2 linked regions of the Sus scrofa genome follow. The protein of the gene in region 2 interacts with the protein of the main gene of each other region in a pairwise test. Links are inferred from orthologs where the notes say so. Each region holds a gene or a part of one and is shown on either strand. Other genes may lie near its edges.

Region 1 (4,259 bases), on a different chromosome or scaffold from region 2:
TGTTCTCAGACTGGTCAAGCAGACAGGGCATCACCCTCTGCTGGCCCAGATCATATGTGCCAAGAACTACTCATCACATCTATTATTGTTATTACTATTATTACTATTATTTTGCTTTTTAGGGCCACACCCATGGCATATGGAAGTTCCCAGGCTATGGAGTGAATTGGAGCTGCAGCTGCTGACCTACGCCACAGCCACAGCAACATGGGATCTGAGCCTCATCTGCGACCTACATCACAGCTCATGGCAACGCCAAATCTTTAACCCACTGAGTGAGGCCAGGGATTGAACCTACATCCTCATGGATGCTAGTTGGGTTCATTACTGCTGAGCCATGACGGGAACTTCCCAGTGCACCTATTATGAAAATTACTTATAAGTTAGTCTCCCACACACCCTGAGTTACTTCTGAATGTGCTCTGAGAGGGCAGAGAATATCTTAGCCATCTTGGTTTCTGTAGCAGCACCCAGCACCATGCTCTAGTGGGGGTGAGGGTGGGGATGGGGGTGGGGGTGTGACACTCTTAACTTTCCAGAGAGAGGCCATAAAACTACAGAAATAGTTGACATTCCACAAGAAGCAAAGGAAAGAGTGTTTGAAGAATGAATGCAGGTCATATACAGATTTTACTTTGCCTCCTCCTTTTTTTGGGGCTGCTGTTCACCTGGCTTTGCAAGCCCTCCTCACTAGAAGTTTCTAAGAGGCATAGTCCACACCATCAGACCCTAGTCCCATCTACCTGGATCATCCCTTACACCCAAACAGGTCCCATTCCACAAGGCCTTGTCCTCCAAAAGGAGGTCATTCAGTGCTTTCTTTCTTTCTAATAATTCAAACAGGTTCCAAGCACAGTGGGGTGCTCTGTGAAGCCCATTCTACTAATCCTGGCTCACTAACAAGTGGTGGGTGGGGGTCAGTGAGACAGGTGGTCTTAAAACCCCTGTTTTTCCCACTGCAACTGAAATAAAATCCAAACCCTTTCCTGAGACTTGCAGGCTCCATGTGATTCAGTTCCAGACTCTCTCCACTCTACAGGACTTTCTGTCCCTTGGCTCTCCTTTCTTTCTGCCCTTCCCACCTTGGCGCCTCTCTGAAGGTGCTGTGCCCTCTCCACCTGGCTTCCTACAGCTTACCATCCCTTTACTTAAAGCTGTTCTCACAACTTACACTTATTTTTGCTACTTACTTTTTCTTCCTCAAACCATGAGCTTGAGAGCAGTGACTATGTCAGCATCCAGCTTGGTGCCCTGCACTTAGGGTCTAATTAATATTTGCCAAATTAATAAAAAAAAAAGGGGTCCTCCATTTCCCCCACTAACCTTTTGTTTTGGGTGGTTCCCACACCAAATCACCTCATCTCTTCATTCCTGAATCCCATTTCCCACAACTCATTCTCCATTACCTACCCTCCCAAACTTTCCATCCTCATAAATCCCACTGATCCATTTCCTCGTTCATCCTTCACAAATCGCATGTGCGCCCATTTCTTAGCCCTAACACTCCCTCCCCAACACTCCTCTTCCCCCTTACATTCCATAAACTTTCCATCCACAAACTCCCCCTCGCCCCAAGACAAACGCCTAAAACCCATCACCCACTGCTTAGCTCCATAAGCTCCCTTTCAATCCGTTTCATTTTAACCGGGTACATCCCTTTGGCCTCAGAGCCAAAGGACCTTTCCGTCCTCCTCAAGCCCTCCCCCCTCCACATGTGCCCTCCCTCTCTACGCCCAGAGACTCACCCCATCTCTCACCCTGCACCCTCCTCACCCCTCACGGCCCCAGCCATCCCAGCCCTGGCCCTTCCGCCCGCCCCCTCAATAAGCGACTTTAGGTGACTCCCGCCCAGCCCGCGCAGCACCTGGCCTGCGCCTCGTCCAGGCTCTGGTCGGTGATGGCCATGATCTGTTGCAGGACATCGGCCGTGTCGGAGTCCGGCGGGGGCGAGGGCGGCGGGCGGCGCGGGGCGGAGGGCGGCGGCGGGGGGTGCGAGGGGTGCTGCTGGGCGTCCATGAGCTGCGGGGCCGGGCCGGCACCTAACCAGTAGCCGCCGAGGTTAGAGAGCTCGCGCGGGCGCCCTAACCAACTGCTGCAGTCTGTGAGCCGCGCGCGCGGGCTTAGGCCCCGCCCACCGCCGCCTCCAGCCAACCGCAGCCAGCCCGGCGACGGCGCCCCACCCCAGGGACCCGCCCTACCATCGCCGCCAGCCAACAGCCGCGGGCCAAGCCGTCGCGCCCCGCGCACGAGTACTCCCCTAACTGCCCCTCTCAACCACCCAGGACATTTTTGGGGGGTTGCCAAGGCAACGACGCTTTCCACTCCCACCTTCCTCCAGGCCCCGAGAGCGCAACGTTGGCTTTGCTCTTCCTCAGAGACCCCCCCCACTTCCCACATCTCTGCCTCCTATACTCCCTCAGAGCAACCATTCCTGCTCAGAGACACTTCTCACAACCCCCGCAGCTCCTGAGAGCCCTCCTTTCCCAGAGAGCCCCAACATCCTAGAGGCCCTCAACTCTCCTCAGAGCCCCTACTCCTTGGGGACCTCACTTCTCAGGGCGCCTCTCTCCCCCAACTCTTCCTCACAGGCTGCCATGTCTCAGAGCACCTCACTCCTCACGGATCTGCACATCTTAGAGTCTTAACTTCTCAGGCCACCCCTCTTCCTCCAAGACACCCCTTCCTTCTCAGACTGCACCCGCCATTCCTCTCAGAGCCCCATCAACACCCCTCATTCATCTTCGGAAGCCCTGAGCCCCAGATACCTCCTCAGTCAGCTAATGCTCCCCTCAGCCTCAGTCCCGTCAGGTGGGTGACTTGGGCTCCTGGCCTCCTAGCTCCCCCTCCCCTGCCCCTAGTGTTCCATTTTCCATTGGTTGGGGGTGGGCATGGGAACGGGTATGATGAAGGTGACTGGGAGGTTAGAACTGAGTCATGTTCTCAGCTGCAAAAGTCAATTCTATTCATTTTCCAAGGTCCAGCTTAAGAATGACCTCACTTATTTGTTCATTCTTTTGCTCTACAGCATATTCTACTAGCACATGAAGGATGCTTTCTGATGACCTACACTTGGATGTACCCCAAATCAGAGGGAATCTTCACAGGCCTTTGTTTTTAGTTGTTAGGACTTCTGGCATCAGGGAAGGATTCTTGTGCAAGAGAAAAGGAACAGATCGGGCATAAATCATTTCTCCAAAGACACAGGACCTCCTAGAGCCTATCTGCTCTGAAGACAGAGTCCAGATGCAGGCTCATAAAAGGACCTCAACTTCCTGGGAACCCTTCAAGACAGGGTCCATATTCTTCCCATTGCTGTTGGAGAGGAAATGCAAACTCCAAACGGTATGACTGGATTTGGGCACTCCAAAGGGACTAGAAATGACTGATGTGGGCTAGTATAAGAACAATACAGTAAGCTCCCTAATAAAGGAAACCGGACACTTGGCCCCAGTGACATGAAGTACTCGAACATGTGGGGAGCATGGAGAGCTGGTACCTTGTACAAAAGGTCAGCCACTAGTGCAGGACCACACAGGAGGCCTGAAAAGTAGTAGATAATTTTAGCATCTGTCACAGAACAGTGGTTGGAGGAGAGGTTGAAAGCTTCAGGGACTATATGAGACAAAAACTTGAAGTCATCTGGTGGACAGGAGAGACCTACAAGAGAAGAAAAAAACTGATGGGACAAGATCTCAAAGGAAACCAGGGGAGTTCAGGTTCAAAGATTCTGATGCAAGAGCAGCCAACTCAGAGAAGGTGAAACAGGTAAGCTTTGAAGACCATGGGGCTCCCACCCCATAGGAAGTGCTTGGCTGTCTTGGCACTCAAAGTGATACTTCTGTCCAACAGGCCCAGAGCTCCATGGAGACAAGGACTGTGTCTTTCACAGGTGTGTGTCCATCCACGTGGTGGAAAGTGCTGGACTGGGTCATTTCTTCTGGAGATTCAGGGCCCAGGCCCAAGAAGCCAGGCTTCCTACCTTGAACCTAGTACCCCAGTTCATTTTTTCTTTCTTTCTTTTTTTTTTTTTTTTTTTTTTTTGCCTTTTCTAGGGCCACACCTGCGGCATAAGGAGGTTCCCAGGCCAAGGGTCTAATCGGAGCTGTAGCCACCAGCCTACACGAGAGCTATAGCAACATGGGATCTGAGCCACGTCTGCGACCTACACCACAGCTCACAGCAACGCCAGAACCTTAACCCACTGAGTGAGGCCAGGGATCAAACCCGCAACCTCATGCTTCCTAGTTGGACTCATTAAC
Region 2 (4,016 bases):
GCCTTCCTCTTCCTCTGGGGGCTGCCGTGCATCCTCCCCCACAGGCTCAGTCCCACTTTCTCTGTTCCTCCTCAACCAAGGGCAAGTTTGGGTGTTTCCCTAACCCCGCACAAGAAACCCAGCCTGGAATTCAAAGCTACTCCGCATTTCTTCCCTCCCAAGTGGACCTGCCCCATCTCACTTCCAGCCCAAAGCCCCAAGTCCTCCACCTAGGAAACACCTATTCCCTTCAGAAATGAAACTTGCTCCATGCAGCCCTCCTCACGGGTCCCATTCCCCCAGCTCAGCTTGAGACTAGGTCGCCTTTGTTGAGACAGAATGAGAGGCTTGGTACTCAGCATTGTTGATTACATCAATGTGTGCATGCGTGAATAATGGGACGAACTTAACTGGACACCACTGCAGTCCCCACCTGCCGGAAGGGCAGGGCAGTTCTCGGAATGGTTCCCGCCTAGGCAGCTTGACTAGAGCAGTGCCCCTTCCACCCTAGGAGCTACAGGTTGGCCCCAGCACTCCCTACCAAGGCCTGGGTTCCAGCATCCCCCCATCCTTCCCCCAGGTCTTCCAAGGTCACCCCATTAGGGGGTAGTGGCAGTGGAAAGGAAGCGGAGACAGCAGTGCAGTGAGGACTCAGGTTTACTCTTTGGGGGCTGGGAGCGGTAAAGGAGGAAGTGTGGGCGGGACGGGGGCGCCCCTCAGTAGTCAGCTGTGTAATCTGTGCCATGCAGCCCCCGGCACAGAAGTGTGAATTCCTTCACCATCTCCTTCACTCGCCTCTTGTTTACCCGCTCGCTGAAGGAGCAAAGGGAGAGCAAGTTAGCACATCCACCCTGGCCTCCTCTGCCCCCCGCCGGCTCAAGCCCAGGCCCTGCCAGCTCTGCTCACCGAAGAATCTGTTGGCTGAAGGTGTCCTTCTGTTCAGGGCTGAGGCGGGCAGAGGGAAAGCCAGGTGACTGAAGTGCCTCCTTGATCCACACACTCAGGAGGCTGAAGCAGTGTTTGTTCAGAGCAAATAGGATGTCGGCAAAGCAGTCCATGAGGCTTCGGGAGGCCTGGCCCCCGATGGCCTGAGGGAGATGGGCTCTCAGCACACCAGGGCCTTGGCCTTTCTGCAGGAAGGATGCCCAGCCACAGGCACCCACTCCCCTGACAGGTTCTCAGCCCAATGCACCTAACAGTGCGTGCTTTTTAAGAGCCCGCTGATCCTCACAGCAGCCTAACAGCTCTCAGCCATTTGCTTGATGAACCAACAGGACCGGAGAGTTTAGGGAGCCAGAGGCTCAAGCTCCCCAGGAGGGCAGCTGCCTCCGCAGTGAAGGCCGCCCCACCCCGCTCCGTGCCCCGCTTGCTCCCTCTCACCTCCAGCACTGCTATGAGCAGCATGCGGCCGTCCTCCTGTACCACCTTCCCCACAGGTTCTACCTCCCCGCAGCGAGGCAGCAGCTCTGTCTACAGAGGGTGGAGAGGCCCGTCAGCCCCCGCTCTTTCCCCCTGTCTCCCTGGAGACGACACCAGCACACCACACCCTGACCTTCTGGAGTCCTGGGCAGGGCAGGCTGGGTATAGGGGTGGCGGGGGGTTAAGGGTTGGCGTGGGACTCACAAAGAAGCCACAGGAGGCCTTGACAGTAGGTGCTTCGGGGAACTTGAGGGCCAGCACAGCTGCGAGAGAGGCAGAGACACATGAGATGGGGCCCGAGCGTCCTCCCAAGGGGGCCCCAGGCCCCCCTGGCCCCTGGCCCCACTTACCACACTGGAACACAGCTTTGACATCCAGGCGTTCACACAGGAACAAGTCGGGCTTCCGCTTCAGAGCCTGCAGGATGTGGAGCTGGTAAGCCCAGCCCCGGCCAGCTCCAAGGACCATTCCCCCCCACTCACCTGCCACCCAGGCCCCAACTTTACACACCACGAGGAGAGGCTGCCAAAACCAGCCACCCGGCCGTCTCTGGGGGACCAGAGTTCAGCAGGTCCGGAGGGGAGTGGCCGAGGGATGCTACGCACGTGTATGTGTACATGAGTGCACAGGCGAATGGGAGGTTGGGGTCACGATGCAGAAAGTCTGGGTCCCGAGTCACCCCTGAGCAAACACCTCCCCACCCCACCCCCACTATCAGAGCCAGACCTCCTGCAGGCTCCAGGTTGCCAGCAGTAGCTTTGCTTTGATTCACAAGGGCAGTGGAGGCCCCCATGGGTTTGTTAACAGGGCAGCAGGAAGAAGAGGTGGCAGCTGGACCAACAGCCCCACTCCTGTGTCCCACCTGCATTCCTGAGACACCCTTCAGCTCAGGAAGAGGAAAAGCAGGGCAGGACTCTGGAGGCCAGGCCGCCCCTTTTCCTCAAGAGGCCCTGTGCCCAGGCCCTTCTCCACTGGACCCAGCCCGGAAGCCAGGGCTGCCAGGCTGCGGGGAGTGGATGGAGTACAGGGGCAGAGAGCCCACCCCAAGTGGTACCAGGACTGGCACATCCTCAGGCCACAGGAGATGCTCTGCACAGCTCCCACAGTCCTCAAGCACTGCTGTTCTCCAGCAGCCCCCAACGCACGCCACACGGACCCCTAACCCGCCAGCCCTCACACCCCTGCATGTTCACTCCCCCGGGTTCACGCGTGTGCACACAGCCCCCCATGCACCCTCACTTCACACACCCTACTTACCCTCTTCCACACACCTCTGCCACATCCCTTGTACGCACCACTCTCCCAGATGTGCAACACACGCTCGCTATGTATTCACAACCCAGCTCCCCCAACCACGTGTCCCCAAACCACGTCCACACACCTGTACCCTCAACCTCCTCAGGTCTCCAGCAGCTGCACTCTCCCCATACACACTCACAGATACACACGCAGATGCCTTCTCCCAGAGACGGCACCCTCACGGATACCCACACACACACACACGTCCACCCGGACCCAGGACACACTGCCCGTTCCCACTCCTCTCCTCCTCTCCCACTGGACGGTGGGTTCGTTCCAGGAGAGTAAGGGCTGTGCCCGCTTCTGCTCACCATTCTCAGCACCCAGCAGACTATCCAGCATGTGCTTCACACTCAAAAAGCATTTGTGGAGTGAGTAGGCAAAGAAACATCAGGTACCCCAACCCGCAGGAAATTCCTAACTCACAGAAGCCCCCGTCACACCAACCCCTCATCCCCACAGCCCGACACATATATCTTCCCAAACACACAACCCCTGATAGAGACAGCCAGCACCACAGCGTGTCTGCCTGCGCCCCGTAACACGCCCTCCCACAGCCCAACACGCACGCCTCCAACACACATCGACAGTCCAAAGCCATCAGTCTGCTGTAGAGCACAGGGAAGTGCATCTGCCGCTTGGGGTGGAGCGCGATGGAGGATCGCGTGAGCGAAAGAATGTGTGTGTACACACGAACGGCTGGGTCACTCTGCTGTACAGCAGAAACTGACAGGACACCTTAAATCAACTGTGATAGGGAAAATGCAACACACCTCAGAAGACTACCCACCAGGGCCTAACACACACCAACACACGACACACACGCCCACACGCCAACGACACATTTATCCTGACACCCAACGGCAACATGTGACTTCTGCTCCCTTCCCAAGCCGAACTCAAGACATACACATAAAGCCCAACACACGGCAAACGCATCTCACAAAGGAGCCAGCACCCCGCCTCCCAGCAGCAGCACGACCTGTCTGACGGCCCAGCTCTGGGCTCCACCGCAGCGCACTCAGCACCGTCCCTCCCTCGGAGCTCCTGGCGGCCTACCTCTCCAGAGCGGGCGGGGGGCACGGAGGCAGGCAGTTCCCGGCAGGAGCACGGGGACGACGGCCCCCAGGCCCTTCAACTCTGGTCCTGCCCTTGACCTTCTTGGGCACCCCAGCCGCACAGGAGCTGCTGGGCACAGTTACCGCCCCCTCCCTGCCCCACCGCCCCCGAGGCCGGCCCAGCTCCCTCCCTGGGGGATCAGCCTCTCCCTGGTCTGTGGAAGCCTGAGCTAGTTGAGGCAAAGGGACACTAAGGGAGGA

Evidence for each region.
Region 1: the proteins of IPO13 (region 2) and PBX4 interact in binary tests that used the Homo sapiens proteins (3 or more experiments, as listed by UniProt). The link is inferred for Sus scrofa from reciprocal best matches to the Homo sapiens genes IPO13 and PBX4.

Annotation. Positions count from the first base shown.
Region 1 is NC_010444.4:58,301,838-58,306,096, reverse strand, and holds the start of PBX4 (pre-B-cell leukemia transcription factor 4), read right to left. Parts: upstream 3,032-4,259; 5' UTR 2,398-3,031; coding exon 1,865-2,397; intron 1-1,864.
Region 2 is NC_010448.4:167,326,969-167,330,984, forward strand, and holds the end of IPO13 (importin-13), read right to left. Parts: intron 1,816-4,016; coding exon 1,749-1,815; intron 1,662-1,748; coding exon 1,603-1,661; intron 1,450-1,602; coding exon 1,360-1,449; intron 1,068-1,359; coding exon 886-1,067; intron 793-885; coding exon 696-792; 3' UTR 619-695; downstream 1-618. UniProt on the Homo sapiens protein: Functions in nuclear protein import as nuclear transport receptor. Serves as receptor for nuclear localization signals (NLS) in cargo substrates.